Linked DNA regions of Macaca mulatta. The protein of the gene in region 2 binds, or shares a complex with, the protein of the main gene of each other region. Links are inferred from orthologs where the notes say so. Each region holds a gene or a part of one and is shown on either strand. Other genes may lie near its edges.

Region 1 (7,915 bases), on a different chromosome or scaffold from region 2:
ACCTTGTCCTTAAGAGTCATTCTCCTGACTGGGCGTGGTGGCTCACACCTGTAATCCCAGTACTTTGAGAGGCCAAGGCGGGCAGATCTCGAGGTCAGGAGTTGAGACCAGCCTGGCCAACATGGTGAAACCCTGTCTCTACTAAAAATACAAAAATTAGCTGGGTGTGGTGGCGGCGCCTGTGGTCCCAGCTGCTCAGGAGGCTGAGGCAGGAGAATGGCTTGAACCCAGGAGGCGGAGGTTGCAGTGAGCCGAGATCGCGCCACTCACTCCCGCCTGGGAGACACAGCGAGACGGTCTTGGGGGGAAAAAAAAAAAGTCATTCTCCCAGATTAGGGAGCCAGATGTTCTCCCTCCTTAGAAGAACTGTGGGTCTCAAGCCCTCCCATCCTGCCCCAGAGAGCAGGGAACACACCATGCTCAGCTAGTGTCTGGTTACCAGCCTCAATTTTTCCGATGGCTTCAAGCTTCTAGATTGCATGATTATCTGTGTTGCCTAATTAGAAATGATCAGATCTGGGTGTGGTGGCTCACACCAGTAATCCCAGCACTTTGGGAGGCAGAAGCAGGAGAACTGCTTGAGACCAGGAGTTCAGGACCAGCCTGGGAAACAAAATGCAATGCCATTTCAACCATAAAACACAAAACAAAACAAAATTGTGGCTGGGCACGGTGGCTCATGCCTGTAATCCCAGCACTTTGGGAGGCTGAGGCAGGCAGATCACAAGGTCAGGAGATCAAGACCATCCTGACCAACATGGTGAAACTCCATTTCTACTAAAATACAAAAAACTAGCCAGGCATGGTGGCGCACATCTGTAATCCCAGCTGCTCGGGAGGATGAGGCAGGGGAATCACTTGAACCCGGGAGGTGGACGTTGCAGTGAGCCGAGATCACGCCACTGCACTCCAGCCTGGTGACAAAGTAAGACTCTGTCTCAAAAACAAAAACAAAAAAACCTGTTTTTAATTAGCTGCGCATAGTGTCATGGGCCTGTAATCCCAGCTACTTGGGAGACCCAGGGAGGAAGCTCGATCACTTGGCCCAATAGGTCGAGGTTGCAGTGACAGCTAGTATCATGCCACTGCACTCCAGCCTGGGCAAGAGTGAGGCCCTGTCTCAAAATAATAAATAAATAAATCAGAAATTTAGCTAGGAGCTTCAAATGACAAGACATTTGTATATACAGTGGATTTCCTAATCATGGGTCCACTAACTTGCTGGACCATAGTCTTAGTTTCGTATGCCTGACCCTCTAAAATGAGGGATGAGTCCAGGTAGCTCATTCCATGGCAGGCAGCAGTCTTTTTTTATTTTTGAGACAGGTTCTCGCTATGCTGCCCAGGCTGGTCTCATCTCAGGCTCATGCGATCCTCCTTCCTCTGCAGTGGCTTGGATTAGACACAACTGCCACCACGCCTGCTCCTAGGCAGTAGTCTTAATGCCTGATGATGGGGGGTTGGGGAAGGAAGGAAAGTATCAGGGTAAATCTTGCAGAGCTGTGTTAAGGACTTAGGCCCTGGAATCAAATGCCTCTGCTCACATCCCACTCTGCAAGACTTTGGGCAACTTAAGCAGCAGCCTCTGTTTCCATCGGAGTGGCTCTTGCCTCTAATCCCAGCATTTTGGGAGGCTGAGGCAGGACGATCACTCGGACCCAAGAGTTCGAGACTACCCCATCTCTACAAAAAAATCCAAAAAGTAATCTGCTTGCTCATGCGGATGTGGTTGTAAGGAGTAAGCGAAATAACACGCAGAGTGCAATGAGCAAGTCCCAGCACAAAATACTCATTTCATAAAATACGTGTTTATTATTGCCATAGGCCTACAGTCCCCGGTATTCTCAATATATCTTGCCTGAGAAGTATCACACTCATGCCTATTAACCAGCTCATACATTTTTTTAATCAAAAGAATTTGGCAGTTGTAGGGTTGTCTTTTCATTCACATCGTCCCTGGAATTAAGTGTCCTGCTACACCAGTGCAGATTCAGCAGCATCTGTCAAGAGTGTCAGTTCCATCTGCAGAGGAAAGGCTCTCTGGCTTCGGTCCGTGGCTCTCCGCGGGTGCGGTGTCTGGACCCAGCCTATCTTCATCTCTGTTAGGCTTCGGGGTCTTTCTCCACACGGTGTCTTGTCCAATCAAAGGACTTCAGCGGAGCCTGCGGTCTGGCCTAGGCTCTTCTGCGTGGGATGTCTGCAGGCCAACAATCCGAGTCGGGGTTCGAAGCCGCGCGCAGTGCCCGGAACGACCCCTCCACGTCGAGGCCAGTGTAGAGCCCGGAAGGCAAAGTAAAGGCCTCGGCCCCGCACAGCCCAGGCTTAAATGTTTGCGCCAGGGCCCCTCTGGCTACCTGGTGGTGGCCCCGAACGGCCACGGAGGCCGCGGCGTAGCTCCTGGGTGAAGGTGTCTCTGAATCGCCCAGCGCGGCGGCACAGGGAGCCTGCGGGGCCAGCCGCGAGGTCCTGCAGGCGGCGGGCCGCGTCCTGGCCCCGCAGCTGGGCCTGCAGCAGAGCGAAGGCCGTGAGCTGCGCCGCACGTCGGATAGGCCGAGACTCGGACAGGCGTTCCACCAGCTGCGGGCTGTGCAGCAGGGCCGCCAGCAGCCGCCGAAGCACCATCTTCCCCAAGCGCCCGGGAATCCGACCTCGCCGCCCTAGTCTTCCGCCCGGCGGCGCCCGACCCGGACGTCATCTGCGCCCGCGCAGCTTGATGACGACACTGCCGCCCTCGGATTGGGTCCAATGAGATGCGCGCTTCCGCGCGTTTCCGCTTCCGCCACGGCAGACGCCACCTCGTGCCGGGAATCGCCGCGTCCTCGTCCGCTTCTCTGCGCTATGTCGGGTGGCCTCCTGAAGGCGCTGCGCAGCGACTCCTACGTGGAGCTGAGCCAGTACCGGGACCAGCACTTCCGGGTGAGGGAGGCCGGGCCGCGAGAGGGGAAGGCCCTGGGCCAGAACGCTGAGAAACGGTTTGCTCTTGTCTCATTGTGTCGCCTCCCGTTCTGCTGCAATCCCCAAACGCCAAGTGGGGCCCCGGTGCCGGCTGGGGAGGCAGGGAGCGGGTGCTGGGGGGGCGCTTGGACATCACTGAAGCCGCTGGCTCTGGAAGACAGGGCATTTGAGGCTCGCTTTCCTGTTCCCTCCAGCCGCTCCCTGCACCCGAGCCGGTGCCGAGAGGCCTGAGCGCTGATGGTAGTGGCGGCTCCCGTTTCCAGGTTGTACCTCGCAGATGGCTGCGTAACAAGGGCGGGGTGCCCTTCTCTCTCCCAGAGTGTGCAGAGGCGCCTTCTTGATGCAGATTCGGGGCTTTTTACGTTCTTTTTTATTTTTTTTATTTATTTTATTTATTTTTTTTTTTTTTGAGACGGAGTCTCGCTCTGTAGCCCAGGCTGGAGTGCAGTGGCCGGGTCTCAGCTCACTGCAAGCTCCGCCTCCCGGGTTTATGCCATTCTCCTGCCTCAGCCTCCCGAGTAGCTGGGACTACAGGCGCCCACCACCTCGCCCGGCTAGTTTTTCTGTATTTCTTAGTAGAGACGGGGTTTCACTGTGTTAGCCAGGATGGTCTCCATCTCCTGACCTCGTGATCCGCCCATCTCGGCCTCCCAAAGTGCTGGGATTACAGGTGTGAGCCACCGCGCCCGGCCTACGTTCTTTTTTAAATCGGCGAAGCAGTGCCCTTCTCTGGGAGGATGGTCTTAGGGAAGCTGTACGCGGTGCGTGGGAGACACAAGTGAAGTCCTCACTCCGCCCTCGGGGAGGCTTCGGAGTGGGGAGGGGGACCCGCCAAGCTGGGCACTTTGAGGGTGTTTGGATGTGAAGATCGGAGAATTGCTGGATTTCAGAAGAGAGAAATTTTTAGTCCGGACTATATCACAGTATGTTTTGTGGAAAAAGGGGAGGCCGCAGATATACAAAGTAGGCTTTTCAGTATCAGCAAAGGTAGGGATGGAATACGGTTGAGGGGTGGCGGCGCGGGACTCATTAACCCGGTTATTTAGTAAACATTTGTTGAGTGCTGTCACCAAAGCCTTGTGCTAAACCCTGGGGGGAAGGGAAGACAGTTTCTGTACTCTGCGAGCTCATAATCCCCTGTAGTGTGGATTATCAAAGAATCTAAGGTGGAAGTGAGTTAAAAGAGAGGCTGTGAGAATTCAGAAAAAGGGGAGAAATCCCCTTGTGACTGGGAAATGAGGGGGCGCATATAGCAGAGGTCAGTGTGGAGAACGTGTGAAATATGTTACTAGAGTAGGGAAAAGGAAACTTTGACGCCAAATTAGGGAAGCTCTGAAATTTATTCAGTCGAGGCCGGGCACGGTGACTCATGCCTGTAATCCCAGCACTTTGGGAGGCTGAGGCGGGTGGATCACGAGGTTAGGAGATCGAGACCAGACTGGCCGAGATGGTGAAACCCCATCCCTACTAAAAATACAAAAATTAGCCGGGCGTGGTGGCGGCGCCTGTAATCCCAGCTACTCGGAAGGCTGAGGCAGGAGAATTGCTTGATCCCGGAAGGTGGAGGTTGCGGTGAGCCAAGATCGCGCCACCGCACTCCAGCCTGGGCAACAGAGCGAGATTCCTACTTAAAAAAAAAAAAAAAAAAAAAATTCGGTCAATTTATTTTATTTTTTGAGACAGAATCTCGCTCTATTGCCTAGGCTGAAGTGCAGTGGCGCAATCACGGCTCATGCAGCCTCAACCTCCTGAGCCCAAGTGATCCTCCCCACCTCAGCCTCCTGAGAAGCTGGGACCACAGGCTCTCACACTACATCCGGCTAATTTTTTGTAGAGACAGGGTCTCCCTGAGTTGCTCAGGCCGGTCTCAAACTCTGGGACTCAAGCGATCCACCAGCCTGGGCTTCCCAAAGTGCTGGGATTACAGACGTGAACCACTGACCCCGGCCAGTCCAGGTTTTAGATGCTTAAGTGCCAGGCATGATTTGCACTTTTTTTGAGACGGGGTCTGGCTCTGTCACCCAGGCTGGAGTGCAGTAGCACGATCTCGGCTCACTGCAAGCTCCGCCTCCCGGGTTCACGCCATTCTCCTGGCGAGCTGGGACTACAGGCCCCGCCACCACGCCCGGCTAATATTTTTGTTTTTGTTTTTGTTTTTGTTTTTTAGTAGAGACGGGGTTTCACCGTGTTAGCCAGGATGGTCTCGATCTCCTGACCTCGTGATCCGCTCGCCTCGGCCTCCCAAAGTGCTGGGATTACAGGCGTGAGCCGCTGTGCGCGACCCTGATGAGCCATTTTGGATCCAGGGATTTGTCAGGTGTGTTGGATGAAGCCCAGTTATATTCTTATTTCTGGCTTCATCGTGTCATCCCAGTTTGGAAGCCCATTAGGAAAGTGAGCTCTGTTTTGTTTTTAGTGATCACTACATTTTTTTCCTCAATTCAGAAAAAATACATGAGCATGTAAAGCATCAGAGTTGTTGCTTTAAACAGTCTCTATGGGGTTATTAAAAGGGGACTCTCTGGAAATCCACTTATTTCTCACTACAGAGTATAAAAGGGCCCTTTGTCATACATGGGTCAAGGTCCAGAGTTTAACCTTGGTTGAAAGGATGCACTGCTGAGAAGATGGCGTGTGCAGGGAAAAAAGCCGCTTGTGTGGCAGTCTGGCGTAGGGTGACTTTGCTGTATGCGGTATAACTTTTGAGCCTTGTCTCTACTAAGAGTCTGGACTTTGCATAAGTGCTTCACAGGATGTGAACATCTCCCTTTTTTTGAGCAAGGGATTTGTGGTAGGCTGGGATGAGAGAATTTGATTTCCAAATCAGAATTAATGAATGTTTCTACCATACTTAGAAATACTATTTAAGCAAGGCTCTGAAGTTGCTTTTGTCTCTCTTTGAAATTCTAGGGTGACAATGAAGAACAAGAAAAATTACTGAAGAAAAGCTGTACGTTATATGTTGGAAATCTTTCTTTTTACACAACCGAAGAACAAATCTACGAACTCTTCAGCAAAAGTGGTGACATAAAGAAAATCATTATGGGTCTGGATAAAATGAAGAAAACAGCATGTGGATTCTGTTTTGTGGAGTATCCTTCCTGTGGATGGAATGTGGCTGCTGAACTGGGGTAGAGCTGAGAATAGTAGCTCATAATCCTCCCTGCACTTGCCCCTACGTTTTCCCTCGTCTCCCTCCTACCTTCTGTCCAGTGTCACTGCTCTTTTTTTTTTTTGAGACAGAGTCTGGCTCTGTCGCCCAGGCTGGAGCGCAGTGGCCGGATCTGAGCTCACTGCAAGCTCCGCCTCCCGAGCTTACACCATTCTCCTGCCTCAGCCTCCGGAGTAGCTAGGACTGCAGGCGCCCGCCACGTCGCCCGGCTAGTTTTTGTATTTTTTTTTTTTTTTAGTAGAGACGGGGTTTCAACGTGTTAGCCAGGATGGTCTCGATCTCCTGACCTCATGATCCGCCCATCTCGGCCTCCCAAAGTGCTGGGATTACAGGCTTGAGCCACCGCGCCCGGCCGTCACTGCTCTTATACTATAAAGCTGACACTAGTTACATTCTCTCCTGAAATCCATGCTTTATGGTTGTTTAAGAAAAAGTTTTTCAGGCCGGGCGCGGTGGCTCAAGCCTGTAATCCCAGCACTTTGGGAGGCCGAGACGGGCGGATCACGAGGTCAGGAGATCGAGACCATCCTGGCTAACACGGCGAAACCCCGTCTCTACTAAAAAATACAAAAAAAACTAGCCGGGTGAGGTGGCGGGCGCCTGTAGTCCCAGCTACTCGGGAGGCTGAGGCAGGAGAATGGCGTGAACCCGGGAGGCGGAGCTTGCAGTGAGCTGAGATCTGGCCACTGCACTCCAGCCTGGGCGACAGAGCGAGACTCCGTCTCCAAAAAAAAAAGAAAAAGTTTTTCAAGAATGTTTGCCCTTCATTAAAAAAAAAAAAAAAATTCCAAAGAGCACAGTGAAAATAAAAAAACCTTGTACTGTTCTAAACCCCTAATTCCCTTTGCCAGAGGCAGTTACCAGTTTCTTGAGCATCTCTCAAGAAGTAACCTGTGGGTGTGCAGTAGTGTACTTCATGTGCTGTTTTTAAAATCATTTATTATTTATTTATTGTTCCATTTCAGCACATGTAGGTCTGTTTTCAAAATAGCCGTATAGCTGGGCATGGTGGCTCGTATTTGTAGTGCCAGCTACTCAGGAGGCTGAGGCTGGAGGATCAGTTGAGCCCAAGGGTCCAAGGCTACACTGAGTTGTACTGTGCTCCTGCCAGGGTGACAGGGCAAGACCCCATCTTTAAAGAAAAAAATGTTTTAATAGCTATATCGTAATTCATTACATAGGTGTGTATAAGCTGATTGTATAGGTACAAACCAAAACTATTTACTTGTGATCATTTTCTTACTCAGACTCTTTTAAGCATTGTACCTCCTGGATTTATTCTGTGTTCTTTTTACTCTCTGTTTTGGTCATTCAATTTAGTATTCTGAGAAATTTTGCAGACCCAATCTAATGTATCTTTTGAGTTTTTTCCTGTGTCCTGAATTACATTTGTTTCAGATGAAATTTTTCCTTAAGTGTCTGGTGATCCCTGGATTTCTGCTCATAATTAAGGACAAGAATGCTGACTCACTGGACCCAGGCAGGGCATCTCTCCCAGATTGCTGGCTTGCCTTGGGGATATGTGGGTTTCCCAAATGCTAGAATGAAAAGAGATTTTATTTTGGCCTGCTAACATCAAAGACACTAGTTCCTCCAGATGGTTTATTCACAACACCATTGTCTTATTTTTATTTGTCTGGGATTAAATGTCCTCCCCTTTAATTAAAGGGAGCTCTCTCTGATGAAGTAGGTTTGGGGACTGCTACCCTGGTGATACCTTGAGTCTTTCCTTTAGTGAAACGCAGCGCAATTCCACATGCACTGTGACCCTCTCTTTATTAAGGTGCC
Region 2 (7,859 bases):
CCTCGTCTCACAATGTCTGACCTTTCCTGTCTCTTTCATCTCTTCATGCCCCAGGACTGTCTCTCCCTGTTTCCCACCCCTGGCCCTCCTTCATTCTTTGTTATTGTTATTTTTTAGAGACAAGAGTTTCACTCTGTTGCCCAGGCTGGAGTGCAATGGCAAATGATCATAGCTCACTGCAGCCTCCAACTCCTGGGCTCAAGTGATCCTCCCACCTCAGCCTCCTGAGTATCTGGGACTACAGGTGCACACGCCACCATGCCTGGCTAGTTTTCTTCGTTTTTTGTTAGCTTTTTTTTTTTTTTTTTTTGAGATGGAGTCTCGCTCTGTCACCCAAGCTGGAGTGCAGTGGCAGGATCTCAGCTCACTGCAACCTCTGCCTCCTGGGTTCAAGTGATTCACCTGCCTCAGCCTCCTGAGTAGCTGGGATTACAGGCGTGTGCTACCACGCCTTGCTAATTTTTTTTTTTTTTGTATTTTTTGTAGAGACAGGGTTTCATCATGTTGGCCAAGCTGGTCTCAAACTCCTGAGCTCAAGCGATCCACCTGCCTCGGCCACCCAAAGTGCAGGGATTGCAGGCGTGAGCCACTGCACCCAGTCTTCTTCTGTTTTTTAATAAAGACATGGTCTTGCTGTGTTGCCTAGGCTGGTCTTGAACGCCTGGCATCAAGTAATCCTCCTGCCTTGGCCTCCCAAAGTGGGGGCATTACAGGCTAGAGCCACTGCACCTAGCCTCTCTCATTCTCTTTGACATCATCCCTTCCCCAAGACCTAAGGTCATACCTCTGGCCTCCCTGAATCCCTCCTATGCCCCACCTTCTCTGGGTTCCATTGTTGGTGCCCTGCAACCCCAAGGCTTGATGGCCTTCTTGGTTCTCTTCCCCCGCAGGAAGTTTGCCCCAAGATGCTCAGTGTGCGGTGGGGCCATAATGCCTGAGCCAGGTCAGGAGGAGACTGTGAGAATTGTTGCTCTGGATCGAAGTTTTCACATTGGCTGTTACAAGTGTGAGGTCAGGGGCCCCCAGCACGTGCAAGGGGCTGGCAGTGTCTGCGGTGCTGGGTAGAGCACGAGACGGGGAACACAGAGATCTGGGGCTGATGGAAATCTGTTGCTTCTTTCTTTCTTTCTTTTTTTTTTTTTGAGATGGAGTCTCGATCTGTGGCCCAGGCTGGAGTGCAGTGACACGATCTTGGCTCACTGCAACCTCCACCTCCCGGGTTCAGGCAAGTCTCCTGCCTCAGCCTCCTGAGTAGCTGGGATGACAGGTGCTGGCCACCACGCCTGGCTGATTTTTGTATTAGTAGAGACAGGGTTTCACCATATTGGCCAGGCTGGTCTCGAACTCCTGACCTTGTGATCCACCCGCCTCGGCTTCTCAAAGTGCTGGGATTACAGGTGTGAGCCACCGCACCCGGCCAATTGTTGCTTCTTTTTCAACAGGAGTGTGGGCTGCTGCTCTCCTCTGAGGGCGAGTGTCAGGGCTGCTACCCGCTGGATGGGCACATCTTATGCAAGGCCTGCAGCGCCTGGCGCATCCAGGAGCTCTCAGCCACCGTCACCACTGACTGCTGAGTCTTCCTAGAAGTACCTGCTGGGTTCTCAGTTCCAGTTCCCATCCTTCGATTGATCACCCTCCCTGACATCCACCTGTATGACTTCATCACCAAATGCTGTCTCCTCTTTCTCCAATCAAGAAATAATAATCCCTCGAGTTTACAAAACACTTCCAAGTCTGCTGTCTTATCTGATTCTCCCAGTAGCCCATTACAAGCCCAGTTGTTGTTACTACCTGCATTTTTTTTCTTTTTTTTTTGAGACGGAGTCTGGCTCTGTCACCTAGGCTGGAGTGCAGTGATGCCATCTTGGCTCACTGCAACCTCCGCCTCCCGGGTTCAAGTGATTCTCTTGCCTCAGCTTCTCGAATAGCGGGGTTTACAGGCGCCTGCCACCATGCCTGGCTAATTATTTGTTTATTTTTTTGAGATGGAGTCTTGCTCTGTCACCCAGGCTGGAGTACAGTGGTACAATCTCGGCTCACTGGAAGCTCCGCCTCCCAGGTTCACACCATTCTCCTGCCTCAGCCTCCCGGGTAGCTGGGACTATAGGCACCCACCACCATGCCCAGCTAATTTTTTGTATTTTTAGTAGAGACAGGATTTCACTGTGTTAGCTAGGATGGTCTTGACCATCGTGATCCACCCACCTCGGCCTCCCAAAGTGCTGGGATTACAGGTGTGAGCCACCGCGCCCAGCCAATTTTTGTATTTTTGGTAGAGATGGAGTTTCACCACGTTGGTCAGGCTGGTCTCAAACTCCTGACCTCAAGTGATCTGCCCGCTTCGGCCTCCCAAAGTGTCGGGATTACAGGCGTGAGCCACCGCGCCCAGCCACTGTCTGCATTTTTACATGTGAGGATGCCAGAGGAGAGTGACTCCCCCAGATTGCATGGTTCTTAAATGGTGGAACCTGGGTCTTTTTGGCTCAGGTCCAGTTTTTTTGGACAACTCTTGTAATCTGTCACTACCCACCTCTCAGTGCTGGGAGCAAGCATGCCTTAGGGAGGAGGCAAGATTTCCTATATGTATCTATTTTGAGACAGGGTCTCACTCTGTTCCCCAGGCTAGAGTGCAGTGGTGAAATTCAAGGCAGCCCTGAACTCCTCGGCTCAAACAGTCCTCCTAGCTTAGCCTCCCCAGTAGCTAGGACCACAGGGGCATCCTACCAAGCCCAGTTGTTATTTTTTTGTGCGTAGATGGGATCTTGCTATGTTGCCCAGGCTAGTCCTGAACTCTTGGGCTCAAGTCCTCCCTCCTCAACCTTCCCAAGTGCTGGGATCACAGGTGTGAGCCACTGTGCCTGGCCCTAAATATTCTGTAAAGGGGTCTTGCTATGTTGCCCACACAGGTCTTCAACTCCTGGGCTCAAGTGATCCTCCCACCTCGGCCTCCCAAAGCGCTGGGACTGCAGGCGTGAGTCACCTCAGCTGGCCTTCCTATTAGGTCTCACACTCAATTCTGAGAGGGGCCTTGGTGTTACTCCCGGGCGTGGCAGTCCACTGAATGTGGGCGGTCCATACTGTTTCGGGCCTTAACTTACAGCCTATATCATCCAAGTACTGAGTGGGGTTAAAACTGAGATCTACCAATTTTCCTTAAAGATGGGGCGTTTTTGTCGAGGAAGATCAGGAATGGCGGACTTTGCATTTAGTGCGCACTGTGGCACCCACTTTTGGCTGGATATTTGGAGCAGAAAATGGTGGGAGACGATGCTTTAAAATGGTTGCTTCCATCTTCCATCCCCTAAACGCGCTTCCCAAGTCCACGTCCTGCCCGAGGAGAGGACGAAACCCCCCCGGTGAGGTCAGGAGGCCCGTAGGGGGAACACGGCTGGATGAGGACTGGCTCAGACCCCCCTACACATCCGGGGTCGCGCGATCCTCGACTTCGGCCCTCGGAAGCTCTCCCTTCGCGCCCAGAGAGCGCCTTCGCCCCCCGAGGCCGCGCTTGGCCCAGCCGAGTTCCCGTAGTTCCTAAAACTCTAGCCATTCTCGTCTCGAAAAACCGCGCGAGACTTGCGAGAACCCCGCCCCTTTCCCGTCACGCCCTGCTCTCCCCGCCCATCGCGCTCGGTTCGTTAGTTCCAGTTCGGGCCGCGAGGGGGGAGCTTTGTGCCTCGGAGGCGTGGGTGACGCAGGCGCAACGCGGGCCGCGCTCGCTACCGCCCATCCTTGGTTGTCCCACTTTTGTTCCCCTCTCTTTGGCCCTGTAACCAAGAGCTCCGTCTTCGTCTCGCCCTCCTCGTCGTCCTCGTCGCGCGCCCGCGGCCCAGGTCGCCCTGAAATCCAGCCCGTCCGAGCGCGAGTCCAACGGCCGCGGCCGCTCCCAGGTGGGGGAGGGGAGGAGCCTGGGGGGCCCCGCTGGGGCGCGAGAGGAACCGGGGGCCACGGGGGCGTGCTGGGAGACCCTCGGGGCGAGTGGAAGCATTGGAGCCGCGTCCTGAGGCCCAGGATGGTGGGGGCCGCGGAGGGCTGGCCTTGACGGGAGGGAAGCGGGCGAGGTGCCCGCGAGGGACGATCTCTTCCTCCGCTTGTCCTTTTGCACCACCCTGACCGCCCCTCCCCGGTCCCCAGGCCCCCTCAGACCGCGCCATGGGTGACAGTGATGACGAGTACGATCGAAGGCGCAGAGACAAGTTCAGAAGAGAGCGCAGCGACTACGACCGTTCCCGCGAGAGAGATGAAAGACGTCGAGGGGACGATTGGAATGACAGGTGAGCCGTTTTTAACTTCTTCTTGTCCCCATTTAATGCCGTTTCACGCCACCCGCGTCGCTTTTCTTTTTCCCCCTTGTAATTTTTATGAGGGCGAACCCTATGAAATGGCTCATTGGATCGTTTGCTGTTGTTCAGCCTATTTGTTGTTGGCCAAGTAACTAGCTGTGTGGCTTGGTTTTTTAAATTCTCAGCAGATCAGAGCAATAGAGCTAAGAGTTTGAGAATGAAGAAGCACTGTTTATACATGCACGAAAAACGTGCTTTTTTGCTTTCTTTTTGTTTTGTTATGGAGATGGGGTCTTGTTCTGCCCTGGCTGGAGTGCATTGTGGTGCAGTCATAGCAGCTTCCACCTCCTGAGCTCAACCGATCCTCCTGCCTCAGCCTCCTGAGCAGTTGGGAGTACAGGGGGAGGCCATCACTCCTGGCTAACTTTTAAAAATTGTTATTATTATTTCGAGACAGGGTCTCGCTCTGTCGGCTAGCCTGGAGTGCCGTGGCGCAGTCTTGGTTCACTGCAGCCTCCGCCTCTGGGGTTCAAGTAATTCTCCTGCCTCAGCCTCCCGAGTAGCTGGGATTGCAGGCACCCGCCACCACACCTGGCTAATTTTTGTATTTTTAGTAGAGACGGGGTTTCACCATGTTGGCCAGGCTGGTTTGGAACTCCTGACTTCAGGTGATTCACCCAGCTTAGCCTCCCAAAGTGCTGGGATTACAGGCATGAGCCACAGTACCTGGTCTAAAATTATTTTTTGTAGAGACAGAGTCTTGCTCTGTTGCCCAGGTTGTAAATTATATTTTAGGAAGATTGCTTCAGAAAAATAATAATATAGAGTTGATCTGACTGGAGAGGTTGTCAGACTATTTCCCTGACAATATATGATTAGGTTTTTTGTCACTGTTTTGCCTAAAATCTCAGAGTTTATTGGGTGGTGCTGATTGGATTGATTGATTATAAGATGTGGTTATTGACCTGAGGATGTTACAGTGTGGGCTTGGCCTGGGGGTTCAGAATGGCCATGGATGTATTCTGTAAATGAGAATACATAGCGGAAGTTATAAAGAGGATAAGCATTAAGGGAACAGATCTCTAAAGGAGGGGAGCGGTGCTGGAGGGGGTGTGTCAGGGACCCACTGGAAAGTGACACTTAGCTAGACTTAGAAAGATAAGTGGGAATTCCCCAGACACGAGTGACACGAACAGCTTGGAGTTGTGGACATAATGTGTGCTTTTAGCATATTCTAGTTTGGTTAGAGTCCTGTTTCTCAGGATGTCCGCAGACCATAGGGAGTCTCCGAGGCTAAAATTATTTTTTGTGCTAATGTTTACATATTATTGCCATTTCCACTGATGGTGCCATAGCAGTGGTGGGTAAAACTGCTGATGCTTTAGCAAACATCAAGGCAGTGACAGCAAAGAGTTTAAAAAAAAAAAAGAAAAAGCCAGCTGGGCGCGGTGGCTTATACCTGTAATCCCAGTACTTTGGGAGGCCAAGATGGGCAGATCATGAGGTCAAGAGATCGAGACTATCCTGGCCAACATTGTGAAACCCCATCTCTACTAAAAATAGAAAAAGTTAGCCAGGTGCCGTGGTATGCGCATGTAGTCCCAGCTACTCGGAAGGCTGAGACAGGAGAATCACTTGAACCTGGGAGGCAGAGGTTGCAGTGAGCCGAGATCGTACCACTGCACTCCCGCCTGGCGACAGAGCAAGACTACGTCTCAAAAAAAAAAAAAATGCCAGTTCTATCAATGGTTCTTGATGAAAGAGTAAAACATTTAATTTGATTAAATTGGACTCTTGACTGTACGTCTTTGTTTTTGACATAAAATCTCTCTCTGTTGCCCAGGCTGGAGTGCAGTGGTGCAATGTCAGCTCACTGCAGCCTCCACCTCCCCGGTTCAGGCGCTTCTCCTGCCTCAGCCTCTCGAGTAGCTGGGACTCCTGACCTCAAGTGCTTCGGCCTCTCAAAGTGCTAGGATTACAGGCCTGCATTAGTTTTCTTGAGCAAGAGTATGCATGTGATTGAGTGAGCTGAACTAACAGCTTTTTTCCATGGGACATTATTTTTACTTGAATGAATGACAAATAGTGATTGTTCATACTTGGGTATTTGGCAGACATCTTGAAAATGAACTGAGAACCTGTTACTTCAGTGTAAGCTGTCAGTATTTGTTGCCAGTGATGAAGTAGCACTTTCCAGTGAAAATTAAAATTTTGGGCCGACGCAGTGGCTCATGCCTGTAATACCAACACTTTGGGAGGAGAAGGTGGGTGGATTGCTTGAGCCCAGGAATTTGAGAACAACCTGGGCAATGTGGTGAAATCTGTCGGTACAAAAAAATACAAAAATTAGCTGGGGGTGGTGGCACATGCCTGTAGTCCCAGCTACTCAGGAGGCTGAGGCGGGAGGATGGCTTGAGCCTGGGAGGTCGAGGTGAGAGTGAGCCTTGATTGCACCACTGCACTCCAGCTTGGGCAACAGAGAAATACCTTGTCTAAAAAAAAAAAGGAAATTAAAATTTTGGAAAACTTCTATCTACTAATGTGAGCTTGACAGCTTCCCATTAAGTAAAGACTTTTTTGGTGAGATAGGCAGTGATGCTGATGCATACATTTTGATATTGTGTGAGACATATCAAAGTCCATTCAAAGGGCAAGATAGAAGAGTGCATTTTAATGTAGCAGAGAAAGAAATATTCACTGATACTATTTCAGATTGAAGGTTCTAACTAGCCTGTGAGAAACTACTTCCGTCTTGGACAAGGTAGCATAAAGAAAAGATAAAAAAGAACCTATTTCTTGTTGAATTTTGCGTAGTATCCAAAATGAATGTCTACAGTTAATCTGAAAAGGCTTTTTCAACTCCTTATTAGTGTGAGGCCTGATTATCTGTTTTTTTTTTTTTTTTAAAACGGGGTGTTACTCTGTTGCCCAGGTTGGAGTGCAGTGGCACAATCATGGCCGTGGGTCACTGCAGCCTTGACTTCCCCAGGCTCAGGTGATCCTCCCATCTCAGCCTCCTGATTAGTTGGGACTACAAGTGTATGCCACCACACCCAGCTAATTTTTTTTTTCTTTCTTTTTTTTTTTTTTGAGATGGAGTCTCACTCTGTTGCCCAGGCTGGAGTATAGTGGCATGATCTGGGCTCACTGCAACCTCTGCCTCCTGGGTTCAAGCGATTCTCCCGCCTCAGCCTCCCAAGTAGTTGGGATTACAGGTGTCTGCCACCACCCCTGGCTAATTTTTGTGTATTTAGCAGAGACAGTGTTTTGCCATGTTGGCCAGACTGGTCTCAAACTTCTGACCTCAAGTGATCTGCCCGCCTTGGCCTCCCAGAGTGCTGGGATTACAGGCGTGAGCCACCACTTCTAGCCAGCCAGCTAATTTCTGTATTTTTAGTAGAAAGGTGGTTTGACCATGTTGCCCCAGCCTGGTCTTGAACTCCTGGGCTCAGGCAATCCACCTGCTTTGGCCTTCCAGAGTGCTAGCATTCATTACAGATGTGAGCCATCATGCCCGGCCTGCCTCATTTTTCAAATAGAACAGAATATCTCAACAGATTTCAGTGTAGAAGCTATCCT

Evidence for each region. Proteins that work in one complex are often made in the same cells at the same time.
Region 1: the proteins of SRRT (region 2) and NCBP2 are in contact, whole or in part, in a cryo-EM structure (PDB 8PMP), measured with the Homo sapiens proteins. The link is inferred for Macaca mulatta from reciprocal best matches to the Homo sapiens genes SRRT and NCBP2. Residues at the interface, in NP_056992.4 of Homo sapiens: Asp857, Arg859, Ala860, Ile861, Val862, Glu863, Tyr864, Arg865, Ala869, Asp874; in NP_031388.2 of Homo sapiens: Ser48, Phe49, Tyr50, Thr51, Thr52, Glu53, Gln55, Lys67, Met71, Leu73, Met76, Lys77, Lys78, Thr79, Ala80, Tyr89, Asp107, Glu121.

Annotation. Positions count from the first base shown.
Region 1 is NC_133407.1:2,487,220-2,495,134, reverse strand, and holds the start of NCBP2 (nuclear cap-binding protein subunit 2), read left to right. Parts: upstream 1-2,790; 5' UTR 2,791-2,838; coding exon 2,839-2,916; exon of another isoform or gene 2,917-3,942; intron 3,943-5,122; exon of another isoform or gene 5,123-5,272; intron 5,273-5,865; coding exon 5,866-6,047; exon of another isoform or gene 6,048-6,086; intron 6,087-7,915. Other genes in the region: protein NCBP2AS2, read right to left, coding at 2,323-2,622. UniProt on the Homo sapiens protein: Component of the cap-binding complex (CBC), which binds co-transcriptionally to the 5' cap of pre-mRNAs and is involved in various processes such as pre-mRNA splicing, translation regulation, nonsense-mediated mRNA decay, RNA-mediated gene silencing (RNAi) by microRNAs (miRNAs) and mRNA export.
Region 2 is NC_133408.1:48,082,253-48,090,111, forward strand, and holds the start of SRRT (serrate RNA effector molecule homolog), read left to right. Parts: upstream 1-3,709; 5' UTR 3,710-3,887; intron 3,888-4,131; 5' UTR 4,132-4,149; coding exon 4,150-4,271; intron 4,272-7,859. Other genes in the region: TRIP6 (thyroid receptor-interacting protein 6), read left to right, coding at 891-1,011, 1,443-1,574. UniProt on the Homo sapiens protein: Acts as a mediator between the cap-binding complex (CBC) and the primary microRNAs (miRNAs) processing machinery during cell proliferation.